Oryctolagus cuniculus: one gene and its partner. The protein of the gene in region 1 purifies or fractionates together with the protein of each later gene. This does not show direct contact. Links are inferred from orthologs where the notes say so. Each region holds a gene or a part of one and is shown in the gene's direction. Other genes may lie near its edges.

Region 1 (9,853 bases):
CACTCGAGGGAATTTCTGAAATGGAAACAACACAACTTGAAGACCAGGGGGACTGGATGAAGGGCACAGAGGCCCAGGACCCAGGTCTTTGCAGATAGCTTGTGCTACAGCTTATGTGTAAAATGTAGCTGCTCTCTCCCATAAATATGCAGACTGAGGCCAGGATAGTGGAGGTAACAGGAAGTAGGATCTCACAGTATAAAGAACGACTGGGTGAAGATTCAAGTTTGTAAAATCTCCAGGCAAAAGCCTGGAAGACAGGAGAGCACAGGAGTCATTGTGTGGTAGACAAGGGCCCATGGAAAGAAGCCCGAGCGTGGAAGATCTGGGATGATCTCTGCTTCAAGTTTGGGAGACCAGGACCTTTGTGAATAGAATGGAGAGCATGATCCAAAGGCTTGGGTATGAGTTCTGCTTGTGTCCCTAATTAGTTGCATGACTTGGTAAAGAATTACACCTTCCTGAGCTTCAGCATTGCCGTCTGCCAGCTGTGGATAAAAGCTATTTCATAGACGTGTTTAAATTCTTCACAAGTTCTCCGCTGCAGTCATCGAATGCCCAGGCCCTTCAGGACGTGGCTGCTGCCTTCTTCTTATTTCCATTTCTCACCACTCTCCGCCCCTGCAACTCCACACCTCAACTGGACTGAACCACCTAGAATTCCCAAAACTCTGCTTCTCCCCAGTCCTAGCAGGCGACGAGTGTGCTATTCCTGGTGTGCCCCCACTGGCTAAACCCGTCCTTGCTTCAGAGCCCAGTTTTAGAGGCACTACCTGCAGAAAGTCTCCTTTCATGGGGGGCAAGATGCCCTTCCTCTGTGTTTTCACAGCACCCTCCACATCCTCCAATCTTAGCATGTTCAGCAGTTGGTAGGAATCCCTGGTATCAGACTGTGGTTCTTGGAGGGCAAGGGCTATGTTTCAGGGCTTTCCAAGGCCTGTGGCATTGTTAACCTCCTGAGGAAGCAGTTGAATGAACAGTGAATAAATGAATGGTGGTAAAAATTTAAGAAGGCAATGATGTGCAGTACTTTCTGTATTTCTTTCTTAAAAAATTATTTAAAAAAGAGGGGCTGGCATTGTAGTGCAGTGGGTTAAGACATCACTTGTGATGTAGGCATTCTATATTGGAGTGCTAGTTCTAGTCCTGGCTGCTCTGCTTCCAATCCAGCTTCCTGCTCAATGTGCCTGGGAAAGGAGAAAGTGTGATGGCCCAAGTACTTGGGCACTGCTACCCATGTGGGAGGCCAGGATGGAGTTCCAAGCTCCTGGCTTTGTCCTGGCTATTGTGGCCATTTAGGGAGTGAGCCAGCAGATGGAAGATTTCTTGCTCTCTTTCTCTCCCTCTCTGCTTTCTTTTCAAACTAAATAAATTGGGGGGAGGGGTAGAGAACAGCCTGGAAGATCCCTTTCCTCCCTCTACAACCCAGTTCTTGTCCTGCCGCTGCCATGCCTAATGTCTCCTCCAGGCTGCCTTCCTCAATAAATATATGCTAAATGGTTAAATGGTTTTTAGTTATGGAAGAATTTTATTCCTTTAGCCTTGCTTGTTTGGACCTGTCTAGAGGGTTCTATGACTCTCTCCATCTAGAATTGAGGCAATTAGGGCTCATATAGTGAGGAAAGATGACTTCATGCCTTTTCTTCTGACCTGAAGGCATGAATCCTGACCTTATCCTTCACTTCTATCCAGTCTCCTCCTCCATGTTTCCTATCTCAGTGAATGACACCACCCTCTGGCCACTTGCATAAGTCAGGAACCCAGAATTCACCAGGCTCCTTTCTCTGGGCTCTTGTCCAGTCTACTCCTTAGGTATCTGGGACCTTTTCATTCACCTCCACTTCCACAGCTACTACCTAAGTCCAGGGCACTATTATCTGTCAGTGGAACGTTTTGCACTGGCCACCTCACTGGTCTCCCTGCTTTCAGGCATCCCTCGTTTCTAAGTGTTCTTCATTCTGCAACTGGAAAGTACAAATCTGACCTTACTCCTCCTTTAAAAAAATATTTATTTATTTGAAAGGCAGAGTGATAGGGGTGGAGGTGGGGAAGAGAAGTTTTTCATCTGCTGGTTCACTCCCCAACAGCTCAGGCTGCGCCAGGCTAAAGCCAGGAGCCATGAGCCATCCAGGTCTCCCATGTGCATGACAGGAACTCAAGCAGTTGAGCCACCATCTGCTGCTTCCCAAGCACATTAATAGGAAGCTGGATTGGAAAGGACTCCGATTGGCACTTGGATATGGGATGTAGACATCCCAAGCCAATCTGCTATGCCACAATGCCAGCCCCTAAACTCTTCTTTAGAAACCTCTGGTGGGGCTGGCGCTGTGGCATAGCAGGTGAAGCTGCCACCCGCAGTGCCAGCATCCCACATAGGCGCTGGTGTGAGTCCCAGCTGCTCCAGTTTTGATCCAGCTCTCTGCTATGGCCTGGGAAAGCAGCAGAGGATGGCCCGGGTCCTTAGGCCCCTGTACCCATGTGGGAAGACCTGGAGGAAGCTCCTTGCTCCTGATCAGCACAGCTCCGGCCATTGCAGCCAATTGGGGAGTGAACCAGCGGATGGAAGACCTTTTCTCTCTCTCTTTCTGCCTTTCCTTTTCTCTGTGTGTAACTCTGACTTTCAAATAAATAAATAAATACTTAAAAAAAAATCCTCTGGTGACTCTGTCCTCATGATAAGGCCCACATTCCAACATACTTCATAAGACTCTAGCCATTTTGCTCCTGCTTTTCTGGCATTATCTCCTACCATCCTTCCTTTGAGCGTTTACTCTAGACATTGATTTACTTGTTCTATGAGCAGTTTGGAAAGTCCTTTTGCCCATTTTTTTTTTTTTTTTTAAGATTTACTTATCTGAAAGGCAGAGGTACAGAGAGAGGGAGAGACAGGAAATAATCTTCCATCTGCTGATTTCCTCCCCAAATGGCCGCAACAGCCAGGGGTGGGCCAAGCCGGAGCCAGGAGCCTGGGACTACATCTGGGTCTCTCACAAGGGTGGCAGAGGCCCAAGCACCTCTTCTGCTGCTTTTCCAGGCACATAAGCAGGGAGATGGATTGGAAGTGGAGCAGCTGGGACAGGACAATGCGCCCATATGGGATGCTGGTGTCGCAGGCAGTAGTTTTACCAACTACGCAACAACGCTGGCCCAAAATAAACCAATCTTTAAAAAAACAAAAATCATAAAACAAAGTGGACCAGTGTTGTGGCAGCAGGTAGAAGGTTAAGCCACCATCTGCAATGCTGGCATCCTATATGGGTGTCCATTTGTGTCTCTGTCCTAGCTGATCTGGTGCCTGGGAAAGGAGTGGAAGATAGCCCAAGTGTGGGAGACTCAGAAGCTACTGGCTCCTGCCTTCGTTTCTGTTTCTGCCTAGCTCTGTTGAAGCCATCTGGGGAGGAAACCAGCTGATGGAAGACCTCTCTCTTTCTCTCTCCCTCTCTGTAACTCTTCTTTTTTTTAATTTTTTTTAAAATTTTTTATTTGACAGGTAAAGTTATAGACAGTGAGAGAGAGACAGAGAGAAGGTCTTCCTTCCGTTGGTTTACTCCCCTAATGGTTGCCATGGCCGGCGCTGCGCCGATCCGAAGCCAGGAGCTGGGTGCTTCCTCCCGGTCTCCCCTGCGGGTGCAGGGACCCAAGCACCTTGGCCATCCCGGGCCACAGCAGAGAGCTGGACTGGAAGAGGAGCAACTGGGACTAGAACCCAGTGCCCCAACCGGGATTAGAACCTGGGTGCCAGCGCCGCAGGCGGAGGATTAGCCAAGTGAGCCTCGGCGCCGGCCTGTAACTGTCTTTCGAATAAATAAAAATTTTTTTGAAAACTGGTTTATTTATTTGAAGAGCTGTGAAAGGGATGGGTGGTATGGCGGATCCTGTAGCCACTGGTTCTGTCCCCAAACGCCCGCAATATTTTTTGCTCATTCCTTCACTCAGTCAACTTCTGCTCATCACCTAGGGATAGGCTCAGATATCACACCTTCCGGGCAAATGTCCCTGCTGGCTGGCTGAGCTTTCCCTTTGCCTTCTCTATAATAGAGCTAAGGCCCCTCTAGGCCGTACTGCGTTATGGTGGAACCTACACACAGCGGTGTAGGATTACCAGGTTTCAAATTCCATCGCCACCCTTGGCAAGCTCCAAGACCCGGGGTAAATGAGTTCTGCCTTCTCGGCAACGTCGGGAAGATGTTTCATCAGTCCGTTGTGAGAATTAAATGAGATGATGCAAGGTGGCTGCCTGACAATTACGTGTTAGCCGGTACGATGGTACCGAAAATCTGAGCGCGATCCCCCGCCCCACCACGTTCTCAGGGTCAGGTTTGCGTGTGATTTCGTTTCCACGCACGTCTCTGTTTCTGCTACCTTCTTGTTTTCCATTCGGCAAGGTAGTCATAACAAGCCGTGAGGTGACCTGGTAGGTACCAGCGGCTCGTCACGACTTTCTGTCCCCGGGATCCAGCTCGTCCACTCCGAACGCCCCCAGGTGGCCCGAGCTCTCGGTCGGAGAACGGAGAGAACTAGGGCAAACCATTCGAAATCTTAGAGGAAGAAAGGCCTTTTCTAACCAAACAGTCTGAGTTTATAAGGTCCCCCCTGTTTCGCTTCATAACCTCGAATTCTATCTGAACCAGCAAGGTGAGGAATAGGACTGCGAGTAGGACGGTTCTAGTACGTCCAGCCTCCTCCCCCGTACTCAAGGTGGCATTGGTACTTTCTCTTCTCAGTTCCCTCTCAATAATGGTACCGCCCGCGGAGGGGAGACCAGAGAGGTCCTCAGGGCTCGGAGGCCCATTCTGGTGCACAACCACCCCTCCTTCTTTGGTGGGTGGTACGGCCCACTGCCCGCTGATTGGCTGCCGAGGCCCCGCAGTCGGCCTCAGCCCGCCGCGCCGCCCTCAGAACAGCTCCGGCCGCCGCGCCGCCTGGCTGTGGTATTCCTTGTTCTCGGCGGGCTGTGGGGGCTCCGCGCCGCGGCCGTTAGTCATGTCGGGTAGGTGACTCCGTCAGCGAGCAGCGGCAGCGGCGAGAAGGGGCCTGGCGGGGTTGGGCAGCCTTCCCGCCCACCGGAGGGCCCCGAGGGAAAACCTTCGGCCCTGAGGGAGGCTTGGGGTGGGGGGGCGGACGCGCCGCCGCCATGTTGGGCTGGAGGCACGCACGCTCCCAACGCTCTCTGGCTGCAAATCACGGCGGGAGCGCTTCGGGTCCCCTGCCTTTTGGCCGTGTCCTTGGAACCTGAGGAGACTTGCGCTCCCGGGGGAGGGTGTGTGTGAGTCGGGGGGCGGAGGCGGTCTACGCCATCCTAGGGGGCGGGGGGAGCCGCGAGGAGAGCATCAGACTGAGAGAATCGGTGCTTCTGGTTGTCCGCTCCGCCTCAGATCTTTCAGCGAGGCCTCGGGCCAGTCATCTCGCCGCCTCGTTGCCTCAGTTTCCCCACCCGTGAAGTGGAGCTGGGCCTTCCTGACTCACCCGTTCCTCAGGTGGGGGCCTGGACGCCCTGGGAGCCCTTTGAAAGGACGTTGCCTCACACGCCGCCGTTCCCTCCGCCGTAGCCGCCGCGAGTGCAGTGGGGGTCTTGGCCTGTCAGTCAGCTTCCTCCTCGCCCCGCTCTGCCATCCTAACCGCCCGCTCCAGTTGTTGGTCCCCCGAAAGAGCTGGAAGTGAGCCCCGTCTCTTAGTGATAAGCTTCCGTAGGTGTTGGTGGCATTGCCCCGTCAGACGCCCAGCCCACGAGGAGAGCAGCTTCTCCGACGAGCAGTTAAGTGGGCAGAGGCCACCCGTTGTGTGGAGGAGAGAAAGGAGCCTTAGTCGCTCCAGGACAGCCAGTGTGGATCCTGCTAAACCAGAATTTAAAAGTCAAGAAGGTGCAGGTCCTCTGGATTTAGCCGACCTAGCTGATCACACAGGGACCCAAGGGATCCACTTGCTGGGAACCCTCAGGAGCGTTAGGTGTCACTTTTTGTGGCTCAAAACCACGTTTTCCCAAAGCCATATGGTTGGGGTACAGTATGCCTTCTAGTAGAGCCTGCCTATTACGCTCTAAGGAGCAACCTGTCAGTATTTGAGAAATAAACAGGAAAGCCCCGGTAATTGTCATGTAGAAGGATGGAATGGTGTGACCAAAGAAAAGGGACAGTCTGAGGAATCTAAGTTAGCAAGAAGAATTGGACAGGAAAATGATACGTTTCTTCTAGGTTAACGTTGATATTAAAAAGCTAGAATATTGATCTTTTTGAGGGGATAAACCACTGAACTTACCTCTTGATTTCAATTTGTTTAATCCTTCCTCAAACAACGAATAACTTCCAAAGTAGACATTGGTACACCTTTCATCAGCTGCATAATTTGGGAGGAAGTCTGGTAAGGCTCCCAAGGAGGATGTGTAATTTACCAGTAGTTTAAGAAAATTAAAAATCCTGCCGTCATGAAGAAATTGACCAAGTTTCAATGTATACATTGCTTATTAAGAACTTTTGGCCTGTTCTGATTTTAGCAGGCTTAGTATAAACAGTGGCTTGTTTTTGTAGTACTAGGTAGTTTTAGGAGTTTGCAGTTTGTAAAATTCAGGCTTTCCATGTATCATAGTAGAGCTGATTTACTCCTTTAGTGATTTTCATGTGACTGAGATATCAGCTAGTTAATTGCTGCTTTGTAATTTTAGTTTTTTAAAGAAGTACTGAGATTGGCTTTCTTGTGAAAAGTACTATTTAGTAGATGCTTATTTCTTAACATTCAATTAAAACTAGAATCTAAGTTCTACTTGTAATACGATTTATACATTCTGAACTATTTCTGTAAAAGTACTACTTTGACTTTGTATAAAATAATACTTTTGTCTTGTTTTTTTGTTGAATGTTTATGTTAATAAAATTAAAAGATTGAACTACCCCTAAATAGCTAATGCCATCAATAAGTTAAATCCTTTAAACATTCCAGGTTACATTTGTAAATTTAATCCATCAGATCAACTTAACCACTCTGAATGTCTGTCAGGGCAGACTTACAAACCCAGTAAAATACAAGCACTTAAATAGTTGATAAATAAATCAAAATTATAAATATTACAAATCTGAGCCTGGCATTCAGATACTGCTTACAAATGTGAGTTATCTCATTAAAATCACAAGTGAAATAATGCCAGTTGCACATACTAAAAATTACAAAATAAAGATACTTGTCATTCTGGTGATGTGTTAGACCAGGATAATTTTCATATTTACAGACTACCCCCCCCCCCCAATAAAAAACATAGCAAAAAAAGTGCAAGCTCCCACTGGCAAAAACGAAGTACAAGCCAGCATGGTAAGGGAATGGAGTTAAATTTGCAGCTGCCCTAGAGAGTAGGGTGTAGGTCTCATCATGCAGAGACATGGATGTTCTTGACAAGGTAATATGTAAGGACAGGAGATGAAATCTTGAGCCCCATTGAGCCAGGTCATGGGAACAGAGACCCTGAAATCCTGGGTTTCTTTTTATTTTTTTTTTAATTTTATTTATTTATTTATTTTTTGACAGGCAGAGTGGACAGTGAGAGAGAGACAGAGAGAAAGGTCTTCCTTTGCCATTGGTTCACCCTCCAATGGCCGCCGCGGCCAGCGCGCTGCAGCCGGCGCACCGCGCTGATCCGATGGCAGGAGCCAGGTACTTATCCTGGTCTCCCATGGGGTGCAGGGCCCAAGTACCTGGGCCATCCTCCACTGCACTCCCTGGCCACAGCAGAGAGCTGGCCTGGAAGAGGGGCAAGCGGGACAGAATCCGGCGCCCCGACCGGGACTAGAACCCGGTGTGCCGGCTCCGCAAGGTGGAGGATTAGCCTAGTGAGCTGCGGCGCCAGCCGAAATCCTGGGTTTCTGAATTATGAGTTTGAAGGACTATCATCTCAGTGTAGGAATGGACAAAAAAAAAAAAAAAACAAAACCTTCCTAACAGAATAAGAGATAAAAAGGGAAGCCTGGAGGCAGAATGAAAAGTCTCTTGAGAATTTGTAACTTGGACAGGTGCTTCACACAATTTGGGTATTTAGCCTCCAAGAAGCCTTAAGACAGGTTGACATAAAAATTGTTTCTGGGCTGATGATAACTTTGGGGTTCTTGGTAAAAACCTTTTATGGAGGAAATTTTACAGCTTAGATTACAAGGACTCTCAGAAAAAAAAAAAAAAAAAGAAAAGCATTCACAGTAAATGAAATCACAAAACTTTAGGAAACAGTTCACCAAAGTTAATGATAAACAGGATTGCACATAAGTTCTATGTTTCAAATTATGAAAAACCTGAAAGGAGGAAACAAGCCTAAGACCAAGATGTTACCAAAAAAGGCCTCAAATTTTAGAACCAAGTATAACTTCTAGAATTGGAAAAGGTGGATAAGTTGAACAGCAGATCTAGCAGAAGAAATGATTATAGATTTCTAGATGTAGGTTATGTGATCTGTCCTTTAAAATCCAATTTAGAAGGATAAAGAGGTGAAAGTAAAAGCTTGGGAAACATGGGAAATAGAATGAGAAGTCCTGTCATGTATCTAATAGTAGATTGAGAAGGAGAAAGTTGGGGAAGAATCAATAGTTAATTCTCCAAAATAGATGAACATTTTGAATCAAGAAGCACTAGGTGCAAACATGAGACAAAAATAAATTCATATCTAGATAAGTTTTTGTGAAACTGCAGATTATGGAATACCAGTAACCTAACAAATTACGGAACAGTTTAAGATTGGTAGCAGGCTTCTTAAAAGTTGGAAGTAATTAAATGGTCCTCAGTTTGAGGAAAAAGTGGTTAGCCTTAAATTTTGCATGCAGGTTGTAACGGGGCTAGGTATCTTTCAGGCCTTTGCAGAAAGAATAAATAAAATTAAATCCAGAAAATGGGGTTCAAAAACAACGTTGAGTGAGGAAACACTGTAAATAAGCCAGTACTGACTGTAAGACATTGAATTTTATAATGATTAGAGATTCAGAAAGAAGTGAAGCAAAATTATGGGTAAAAACTATGATTGGCGTTGGAGTATTAAAGTCTTTAAATTTCAGTGGGTGTTGAAGATAATGCTTAAAATTGTTTTTTAAATATTTATTTATTTGAAAGGCAAAGTTACAAAGAGGCAGAGGCAGAGAGAGTCTTACATCCGCCAGTTCACTCCCCAAAATGGCTAGAGCTGAGCCTATCTAAAACCAGGAGCCAGGAGCCAGGAGCTTCTTCCAGGGCTCCCACGTGGGTACAGGGGCCCAAGGACTTGGGCCATCTTCTACTGCTTTCCCAGGCTATAGCAGAGAGCTGGATCAGAAGTGGAGCAGCCGGGTCTCAAACCAGCACCCATATGGGATGCCAGCACTGCAGGCAGTGGCTTTACTTGCTATGCCATAGTGCCAGCCCTGATGATAATTTAAAAAAATTTTTTTAAAGAAATTTTATTTTTTTATTTGAAGAGGAGAGTGACAGGGACAGAGAAATCTTCCCATCTGCTGGTTCACTCTCCAAACGGACTAAAATGTCCAAGGCTGGTCGAAGCTAAGCCAGGAGCTTGGAACTGCATCCCTATCTCCCACACTGGTGGCAGGGGCCCAAGCACTTGGGTGGCTTTCCCAGGCACATTAGCAGGGAGCTAGATCAAAAATGGAGCATCCAGATGTAGGATTAGCTTGCTGTGCCACAATGCTGGCATCTGAATATAATTTTTAACTTTCTCAGGAATACATGTTAAAAACTGAATATATTCAGAAAAATTATGTATGATAACTGAGTAAAAGAAGCTGAATATAAATTCTAAAGCAGAAGAAAAGCGGAACTCTATAATAGAAAGCAGGAAAGGAGTTAAAAGGAAAATCATGGTAGAGAGTTTCAGTATAACAGTAGGAATAAATAA
Region 2 (9,991 bases), on another chromosome or scaffold:
CCGCCTGGCGGCGCCGGCACACCGGGTTCTAGTCCCGGTCGGGGCGCTGGATTCTGTCCCAGTTGCCCCTCTTCCAGGCCAGCCCTCTGCTGTGGCCCGGGAGTGCAGTGGAGGATGGCCCAGGTGCTTGGGCCCTGCACCCCATGGGAGACCAGGAAAAGCACCTGGCTCCTGGCTCCTGCCATCGGATCAGCGCGGTGCGCCGGCCGCAGCGCGCCGGCCGCGGCGGCCATTGGAGGGTGAACCAACGGCAAAGGAAGACCTTTCTCTCTGTCTCTCTCTCTCTCACTGTCCACTCTGCCTGTCAAAAAAAAAAAAAATAAAAAAAAAAAAAAGGGGGGGGGGGTTTAAAGTTCCTTATAGGTCCCTCAGGGATTTAGAGGAGATGACTGGCCCCTTTTGTTACTATCACAAAAGCATTAAAACTATAAGAAGCAAAAAAAAAAAATTACTACAATTAATCACCACTTCTACTTTCTTTTAAAATTTTTATTATTATTTATTATTTTTATTTTTTATTTATTTTTTATTTTTTTTTATTTTTGACAGGCAGAGTGGACAGTGAGAGAGAAAGACAGAGAGAGAAAGGTCTTCCTTTGCCGTTGGTTCACCCTCCAATGGCCGCTGCAGCCGGCGCACCGTGCTGATCTGAAGCCAGGAGCCAGGTGCTTCTCCTGGTCTCCCATGGGGTGCAGGGCCCAAGCACCTGGGCCATCCTCCACTGCACTCCCTGGCCATAGCAGAGAGCTGGCCTGGAAGAGGGGCAACCGGGACAGAATCCGGCACCCCGACCGGGACTAGAACCCGGTGTGCCGGCGCCGCAAGGTGGAGGATTAGCCTATTGAGCCACGGCGCCGGCCTTTTATTTATTTATTTGAAAGGCAGAGATAGAGAGAAGAAGAGAGAGAGAAAGAGAGAAGTCTTCCATTCACTAGTTTACTTCCCAAATGGCCACAATGGCCAGGGCTGGGCCAGGCTGAAGCCAGGAGCCAGGAGCTTCAGCCAGATCACCCCTGTGGGCGCAGGGACCCAGGGGATGCGGCAGAGGCTTAACCTTTTATGCCACAGTGCCGGCCCCTAAAATTTCACTTGTTTGAGAGGCAGAGAGACTGACAGAAAAAGAGACAGACCGATTCCCATTGCTGGTTCACTCCCTGAATGCTCACAACATTCCTGGCTGAGCCAGGCCAAAGCCAGGAGCTAGAATCTCAACCCAGGTCTCCCATGCGGGTGGCAGGGATCCAGTTACTTGAGCTCCCACCTGATACGGGCCAGGGTGTAAATGAGCAGGAAAATGGAATGGAAGCCAGCGCTGGGACCTGAACCCAGCTCCTCTGATATGGGGCGCAGTCATCCCAAGTGGCATCTTAACTGCTGTGCCACGTCTGCCCCAACCAAGTGATGAAATATGGACCGAGAGACTTCCGCTGTTTGTAAAAAGGACAGATGGTGAGATGATGGTTTTCTGGGCATTTAGAGCAACCGTTTTTCTTTCAAATTTTGTCTAAAGGAGCACTGGGATGAGAGTGAGGGTCTCATTTCCTTTTTTTAAAGGATTGATTTATTTATTCGAAAGAGAGAAAGAGAGGGAGAGAGATCTTCATCTGCTGGTTCAGTCCCCTAAGTGGCTGCAACAACCAGGGCTGGGCCAGGCCAAATTCAAGAGTCAGGAGCCCCATCTGGGTCTTCCATGTGGGTGCAGAGGCACAAGTACTTGGGCCATCTTTCTGCTTTCCCAGGCGGGTAACAAGGAGCTGGATCAGAAGGGGAACAGTGGGACTTGAATCAGAACCCCAGTGGGATGCCACTGTTGCAGAAGGTGACTTAGCTATGCCACAGCTCTAAAACGAGCAGGCTGGGGGTGATCTGACCCATCCAACTCTCAACCCTCTGCAAAGCTCTGGGAGATGAAGTCATGGAAACTTCTCATGTGTACCAGAAGTAGTAATTCATTTATTAATATAAATGGTTTAATAATCATCTAAGAACAATGTAAAACTCTATTATGCTTATATAAGCTTGGTTTTCATAGTTTTTTCTGTGTTAAATGGAAATTGTTTCCTTCTGACTAAAATTTAAAAACATAAATTAAATCTGAGGACACATACACATTAGAGGACCATCGACATAATTGCACTTAACTCTGATTCATTAATTACCCAGTTGGAGAACATCGAAGCCCCCTGCAGCTCTCTTCCCAATTCTGAATGAGAGCAAGGAAGAGTTCAAATTCGTCTGTGGCTTGTTGGCAAGCTTCAGCAACATAGCCAAAGGCCAAGTGAATTTCTGACACTATTTGGACGCTTCTACTTCCGGGCTGTCCTAGTCCCCTCTGTTAATTTGAGGATTACCAGTACTGCACACTATTAATCTCAACTCAAATAATCTCACGGATGTCAGTATTTCACCTTATGCCTGAATACAGGGTAAGACACATTTCTTAAAAACTGTTGAAAAGCAGCTTTTAAAAACGAACATTTGTGGATCAGTTACATCACCTCAGCCTACGGGACAAGATTTGCATTTCTGTACTTCCACATTTCAAATCAATAGCACAGCAGTCTTTTTGTGCAGCAGGTCTCTTTCCTCATTCCCACGGGGATCGCTGGCCTGGCACTGTGGGGACGCTGGGGGATTAGGATGCTACCCCGGATTGCCACTCTCAAACTTCAACCACGATCCAATCACGGATTTCTTTTTGAGAGCGAGGTCTCTCATGGCCCGTCTGCCAGACTGTCGCCCTGTTCCATCTCAGGAGCCTTTGGTTTGGGCACCATTGGGTCCCCGCGGGGACAGGGAGAAAATCCACGGGTGGCAGGTCCTAGCTGCGCTTCGCCCTCCTCACCGCACGCCCGGGCCTGAATGACAAACATCAGGCCCCACAGAGGCCTCTGCAAGGCCACTGACGCCATGCGTGTGGCTGCCGCGAAGAGCGCGCTTTGCGGATGCAGACCGGAGGAGGGGAGAAGCCGCTTTCCCAGGCCCCGCACCGGGGGCTGCCGAAGACACAAAAGAAAGGCTTCCCGAATTTAAAAGGCCATTCGCCAGGCCGGCTTAGAAAAATGAAAGGAGATACGAGGCCGGAGGTGGGGGGGGAGAGGGGGGGAAGAAGGGACGAACCAACTCTCCGTGTGCTGACTGCCAGGCTGGGTTAGACAAGCCAGAGCGGAAATAAAATCCCGAGGCGTTTTAAAACGGTATAGCAGGAGGGGCACCCAGGACGGCAATACTAAGATGGAAGAAAAGGTGGAGGGGTTCGAGCTGAAAACGCCAAGCTGAGCTCTGCTAGCATTTCAAGCCGAGCAGCCGCCCAGGCTGGGAGGCCAAGAGCAGAACGAGCTCCCTCGGCAGAAACCCAGTGGACTTTGCAGCGGGCCGGTTAAACCGAAAGGCGGTTTCCTTCTCCTCCATTTGCTCGGCACCCAATAGGAAGCGCACTGCGCGGCCTGTGCCGCGCTCCCGACCCGGGCCTCGGCGTGGGGGCGGGGAGGCAGGGACGGTGCTGGGCGGGGCCGAGCGCGAGCGCGCTCCCGCCTTCCTGCTGCGCGGCGCGCCCGTCAGCGCGGGGGGCGGGGCGGCTATATTACGTGCGCGGCGCCGCCCCTGCGAGAGGACGTTGCGTGCTCGCTCGCGCCAGGCGAGTCTCCGCGTCTCCCTCGCGAACTCGGTGAAAGGAATTGGCGCCGTTCGACACCAGGCGGGTCCTCTCTGCAGCACGAACCCACCTCCAGCCGCAGCCGCCGCCCGGACCGAGGAGCAGCCGCAGCAGCCGCTACCAGTGGCCGAGTGAGCGGAGCCCAGTCCGAGCCAAGCTCCCTGCCGCGAATCGGGGCCCTCATCATGAGTTCCTCGCCTGTTAATGTAAAAAAGCTGAAGGTGTCTGAGCTGAAAGAGGAGCTCAAGAAGCGGCGCCTCTCCGACAAGGGCCTCAAGGCCGAGCTCATGGAGCGACTCCAGGCTGCGCTGGACGACGAGGAGGCCGGGGGCCGCCCCGCCATGGAGCCCGGGAACGGCAGCCTAGACCTGGGCGGGGATTCCGCCGGGCGCTCGGGAGCAGGCCTCGAGCAGGAGGCCGCGGCCGGCGGCGACGACGACGAGGAGGAGGAGGAAGAGGAGGAGGAAGGGATCGCCGCCCTGGATGGCGACCAGATGGAGCTAGGAGAGGAGAACGGGGCCGCGGGGGCGGCCGAGTCGGGCCCGATGGAGGAGGAGGAGGCCGCCTCGGAAGACGAGAACGGCGATGATCAGGGCTTCCAGGAAGGGGAGGACGAGCTCGGCGACGAGGAGGAGGGCGCGGGCGACGAGAACGGGCACGGGGAGCAGCAGCCTCAACCGCCGGCGGCGCCGCAGCAACAGCCTCCGCAGCAGCGCGGGGCGGCCAAGGAGGCCGCGGGGAAGAGCAGCGGCCCCACCTCGCTGTTCGCGGTGACGGTGGCGCCGCCCGGGGCGAGGCAGGGCCAGCAGCAGGCGGGAGGTAAGAAGAAGGCGGAAGGCGGCGGAGGAGGCGGTCGCCCCGGGGCTCCGGCGGCGGGTGAGTGCTGCGTTGTACGTTGCGCGCGGCGGGAGGCCCGCGTGGGGTGGGGACCGGGCCCCCGGCCTGCCGGAGCCCCCCGCTGGTGGCTGGGTGGGCGGCGGTGGGGGGAGGGAGGGGTGCGGGGAATCCCAGATTAGCCGAGAGGCCTGGGGCTCGGGGTGTGTGTGTGCGTGTGCGTGTGTGACGGCGGTGGCAGCGCCTCCATTATGTGGCTCGGGAGCCGGGGCGGGGGTGGGGGCGGGGGAGCTGCAGCTGCCGCGGGAGGGGGGGAGGAGCCCCGTCGGCCCGCGGTGGCGCCGCCGCGCTGTGTGTGCGCGCGGTGCGGGCACATGGCTCAGGGCGGGGGGAGGGGAGAGGCCCGAGGTCCCGGGGCGGGCGCGCTTTGGCGGCTCCTCGCCGCGGTATTGTGCAAGGAGCGCAGGGGCTCGGCGTGACGTCACTTCCGGCGGGAGGAGCCGGCGCGCCGAGCGGGGCGGAAGATCCGTACAATGCGGCCGCGGGCTGCGCGGGCCCGGGTGGGGGAGGGGCCGCCGCCCCCGCGCCCCTCCCCCTCCTGACCGCTCGTCGGGATCCACGTGGGCTCGGGGCCTCCGGCGCGCAGTTGCGCTTAAGCTTTCTTGAAGCCTCCGGTAGACGGGCCGAATTAGTAACGTCTTTAGGCTGCGTCACTAACTCCAATCCAATTCCAAGCTGATAGTTTGAATTCACATTCGACCTGGCGGTTCAGTATTCACCCAAAACTCATTAATTCGATGCTTTTAGGCAACTTGAAATAAAAGCGGCTTTTTTTTCTTTTGGCGGGGGTGTTGGGTGGCTTGAGCACTTATGAGAGTGTCGTGTGTTATAGGAGACGGCAAAACAGAGCAGAAAGGCGGAGATAAAAAGCGAGGTGTAAAAAGACCTCGAGAAGATCATGGCCGTGGATATTTTGAGTACATTGAAGAGAACAAGTACAGCAGGTAGAGGATGCTAACGGATTGTGCGTTGTTGTTGCCCGTTCTCCGTGGGTGGGCAGAGACGTATCAGGAGCCCATTCTGTCTTTCAGAGCCAAATCTCCTCAGCCCCCCGTTGAAGAAGAAGATGAGCACTTCGATGACACAGTGGTTTGTCTTGATACTTGTAAGTGAAGCTGTTTCACCCGCTCCCCCACGCAGTCCTCAAATGCCTTGGGTTTTTTTGACAATGTTAGATTGCAGTACGTTTAACCTAAGTGCAGAAAACATGTACAGTTTTCTAAAAAGCAAAGATAATGATTGATACCCAGAGTGCAGTAGTTTAATATTAATATGCCATCAGTTGTGTTGAATTGATTTTACAGGCTTTGGCAATTTTAATTGTAATTTAAAGCTTCTTATTCTTGAATGTGAAATTGATGCCAATTTTGGACTAGTTAGCTAATGGAAACTGTTAACGTGTCCTACAGTAATTTCCTTTTATTTTGGGATTGTTAAGTCAGCTACTTGGGCTGGTTAAATACTTAACTGATGACTTTTCCCATTAGCACTCAAGTATATTCCCTATTCTAAAAGACTGTAATACTATTTCAATAACTGCTCTTTTGTTCTCAATTCCAGTTCAGTAGCTGCTGCTTTAACATAAGTTGATTTCTTCCAAAGACCTGGGGCAGCAGCAGTGGGCCATCACTGGGCCACTAGCTTTCTTCAGCAGCGAATGGTATCAATGGCAGCACTGTAAATACTACGTTACCCAGTTGGGTTGCAATCGAGTATGCGGAATTATTGCAAACCTTTAAATGGGCCGTGGCTGTCAGATTTTACTTAAATTACGTTGGGTTAGCGTTTGATCAGAATAGGATGCACCAGTCTTTCCAGTGTGAAATAGAACCAAGAGTAGAAATCGTACTTGAAAAGTTAAAATGTCAAGTTGCTCTGGTAAGGCGGAAGTTAGATTCGGATGCTTCCTTGTACAGATTGTTGATTCAGGTGATAAATGGTGATACCTCTGATTTCTTACTTGAATACCCTGTACAGGTAGTTAAGAGTTGAGTCTTTGGGAAAAAAATGCATATGGAAAAGGTGGCTTGAAATTTTGATGTCAAAATCAGTTGCTTCAAGTTACTAGCAGTTACCAAGATGCTGAAGCACTGATTACAGGAGCAACAACAGCTTCTTGAAATCATAGTTCTATCAGTGATCAGGAATTTCAGGAGCAAAGCTAATTTAAAAGTTCCGAACTGTAGGTTTCCTGTCCTGTAAAAAGGAAAAGAGCCAGCTTTCTACCTTGACTTTAGCTGTCCCTCACGTGACCCAGAGGTAGCTAGATTAAAGATGCTTTGGATTTGGATGACCTGATTAAGAGCTTAATCCTTAATTGTTGCTAATACACAAATACACAAGACCAAAATGCTGTAATATTGACAGTGTTAGAAGACCAGATTTGTATATTCCAAGTTGAGGCTGCCTTGCCTTATTCCTAAGATTTAGAAAATAATTTAGGACTTAGGAGCCTAGTGTTAAAGTACGGGATCAACAGCTCATACTCCTATGTTCAAATATTTGGCCGTGGCCTCCCTTCAGTTTTATTGTGGCACTGGTAAATTCTACCTGGTTCTGGCATGCTTCACTTTGATTTCCTGCTATCCTCTACTGCGTGCCTCTAAATCAAGGTAAAGAGCAGAGCAGGTATGTATCCATGTCACATGTCTTGTTTTATATTCTTAAAGACATTAAGCCTTAGTTTATAGGCAGTTTACTCTTTAGTACTTAATTTGATAAGAATGGTGGGAGTGGGGCTTACACGGAAAATTGGGAAAACAGCATGGTGTTAAAAACTGTTTTCTGCAGCATTAAGAAGTACATGAAAAAAATTTAACATCCAAGTTTTGTCTACATAGCAAATAGATTTCCATTGGATGTCAAAAGAATAATATGGTATTTAATATAATTGCAGATAATTGTGATCTACATTTTAAAATATCAAGAGATCGCCTCAGTGCTTCTTCGCTTACTATGGAGAGCTTTGCCTTTCTTTGGGCTGGAGGAAGGGCATCTTATGGTGTGTCAAAAGGCAAAGTCTGTTTTGAGATGAAGGTAAATGCAATGTTGTGAGGTTTCTGGAACCTTCATTTTGTAATAGTGAAGCAAGTTTATTTATCAGAATTTGCCCTATAGAGCCAGCCCATACATTATTTAGGGCACTCCATTATATGAGGCCCTTGAAAAGGGCCACCAAAGAGTTAAAATTTCTTTTGGTTAGAGTGTTGGTTTTATGAGAAAAACATCAATTGAGAATGTAATTTAAAAATATTGTTCTAAAAATCTAAATCAACCAAGTATTTAATTTTAAGTTATAAGCCCTTACATCAATTGGAAAATACTGGGAGTGGGGTAGAGTTGGGTGTCCTGTCTTTGTATAAATAGCTAGAGAAGAATTTTAGGTACCCATAGCCCAAGTGAGATAAACCAGGCACATAAATAACCTACCTACCTTGGTTTACAGTTAATGATATAATGACTTAACTTTCAGGTTACAGAGAAGATACCTGTAAGGCATTTATATACAAAAGATATAGACATACATGAAGTTCGGATTGGCTGGTCGCTAACCACAAGTGGAATGTTGCTAGGTAAAGTTTACATTGAGTACTGCAAGTTCATGAATGTCTGATTTCATTAACTATCTGCAGGCATTCAAAACCTTTTCTTGTTATTTTCATTCTGTTTTAGAGAATAGTAACAGTAGGCAGAGTCTAAATTTGCTTTTGTTCCTTTATGGTTGTTTGAGTTATGACTAATGGCTTGAGCAGCATACTTTTTTTTCTAAAGACTGATTTATTTTTTGGAAAGGTAGAGTTAGAGGGGGAGAAGAGATCTTCCATCCGCTGGCTCACTCCCTAAATGGCCGCCATGACTGGGGCTGGGCCATGCCAGTGCCAGAAACAAGGAGCTTCTTCTGGGTCTCCCTCATGGGTGACAGGGGTGCAAGAACTTGGGACATTTTTCCTGTGCATTAAGGAGGAGCCTTTTTAAAGATTTGATTTGAGAGGTAGAGTTGTGGACAGAGGGAGAGACAGAAAGGTCTAACATCACCAGTTCACTCCCCAAATGGCAGCAACAGCTGGAGCTGGACTGATCTGAAGCTTAGGAGCCAGGAGCTTCTAACAAGGTCTCCCACTTGGGCCATCTTCTACCGCTTTTCCAGGCTGTAGCAGAGCTGAATTGGAAGAGGAGCAGCCGGGACTAGAACCGGAGCCCATATGAAGTGCTGGCACTGCAGGCTGGGGATTAACCTGTGCCACAGGGTTGGCCCCTGTATACAAGACATGCAGTTTGTCCACAAATTTTATTTTGTAATAGGTCCAGTTAGCCTTCATCAATTTTTACATCTAGTGTAGAGGTAGTTAAAACTGAATGCCAATGATGGATTCTTAGGTTATTTAAGCTACTTATGAAAACTTCATGTAATACTGGAATTACCTATTCCAGTGCAAAAACTCCTGAAATGCATGCAGCTTTTTGGTAATACACATTTTCTGTGAACTTTTGAAGACTACTTTTGCTTAGTTTCTATTACATCCTATATTTTGAATAGTAAACCAGGCGGGTCTTTGGATTGTTTTAAATATTTACTTCATGAAAATTACTTTTTTAGGTGAAGAAGAATTTTCTTATGGGTATTCTCTGAAAGGAATAAAAACATGCAACTGTGAGACTGAAGATTATGGAGAGAAGTTTGATGAAAATGATGTGATCACCTGTTTTGCTGTAAGTCAGGGCTGCATAATTCAGCCTTCACTGTGATCAACAAGGTTAAGATTTCATTAGTTATCAGGAAAAATAAAAATTTTGAGAAACAAAGCAGATGAATTTTGAAAGTGTAGCTCACTTTCTAGGGCACTGTTTGTGCTTCAGTGTTTAGCTATCAAAGTTCTTAACATTTAATGTTTACCACAAGATTAAAAGTCATTCCCAGTTATGAATTTTTGCATTTTCTCAGAAAGCCTATAGGAAGTAGATTAAAGTTGTTTTTCTGTTTGAACAGAATTTTGAAAGTGATGAAGTAGAACTCTCCTACGCTAAGAATGGACAGGAGCTTGGCGTTGCCTTCAAAATCAGTAAAGAAGTTCTTGCTGGACGGCCACTGTTCCCGCATGTTCTCTGCCACAACTGTGCAGTTGAATTTAATTTTGGTCAGAAGGAAAAGCCATATTTTCCAATACCTGAAGAATATACTTTCATCCAGAATGTCCCCTTAGAGGACCGGGTTAGAGGACCTAAGGGCCCTGAAGAGAAGAAGGATTGTGAGGTAAGCGATTTTTATTTTCAGCTGTGGCATGTGAAAGATCGCTTTTGGTTGATAAAAAAGTGACAGATACGGATGAGTGTTGTGTTTTCATTTGCTTTTTCCCAAATGTAGTACTTAATAGTTCCTTTAACGTTGGAGTGTTAAACTTTCTCAAGTTGTCTTCCTGGGTCTATGAGACTGGATTGCTGAAT

What was found. The genes of interacting proteins can lie anywhere in the genome.
Region 2: the proteins of TAF15 (region 1) and HNRNPU purify together in Homo sapiens (affinity purification with mass spectrometry; 3 studies listed by BioGRID, with this or other methods). This does not show direct contact. The link is inferred for Oryctolagus cuniculus from reciprocal best matches to the Homo sapiens genes TAF15 and HNRNPU.

Annotation. Positions count from the first base shown.
Region 1 is NC_091448.1:38,796,652-38,806,504, reverse strand, and holds the start of TAF15 (TATA-binding protein-associated factor 2N), read left to right. Parts: upstream 1-4,848; 5' UTR 4,849-4,983; coding exon 4,984-4,990; intron 4,991-9,853. UniProt on the Homo sapiens protein: RNA and ssDNA-binding protein that may play specific roles during transcription initiation at distinct promoters. Binds to ssRNA containing the consensus sequence 5'-AGGUAA-3'. Can enter the preinitiation complex together with the RNA polymerase II (Pol II).
Region 2 is NC_091444.1:64,892,121-64,902,111, reverse strand, and holds the start of HNRNPU (heterogeneous nuclear ribonucleoprotein U), read left to right. Parts: upstream 1-3,576; 5' UTR 3,577-3,840; coding exon 3,841-4,531; intron 4,532-5,381; coding exon 5,382-5,493; intron 5,494-5,580; coding exon 5,581-5,654; intron 5,655-7,445; coding exon 7,446-7,585; intron 7,586-8,021; coding exon 8,022-8,121; intron 8,122-9,146; coding exon 9,147-9,259; intron 9,260-9,536; coding exon 9,537-9,800; intron 9,801-9,991. UniProt on the Homo sapiens protein: DNA- and RNA-binding protein involved in several cellular processes such as nuclear chromatin organization, telomere-length regulation, transcription, mRNA alternative splicing and stability, Xist-mediated transcriptional silencing and mitotic cell progression.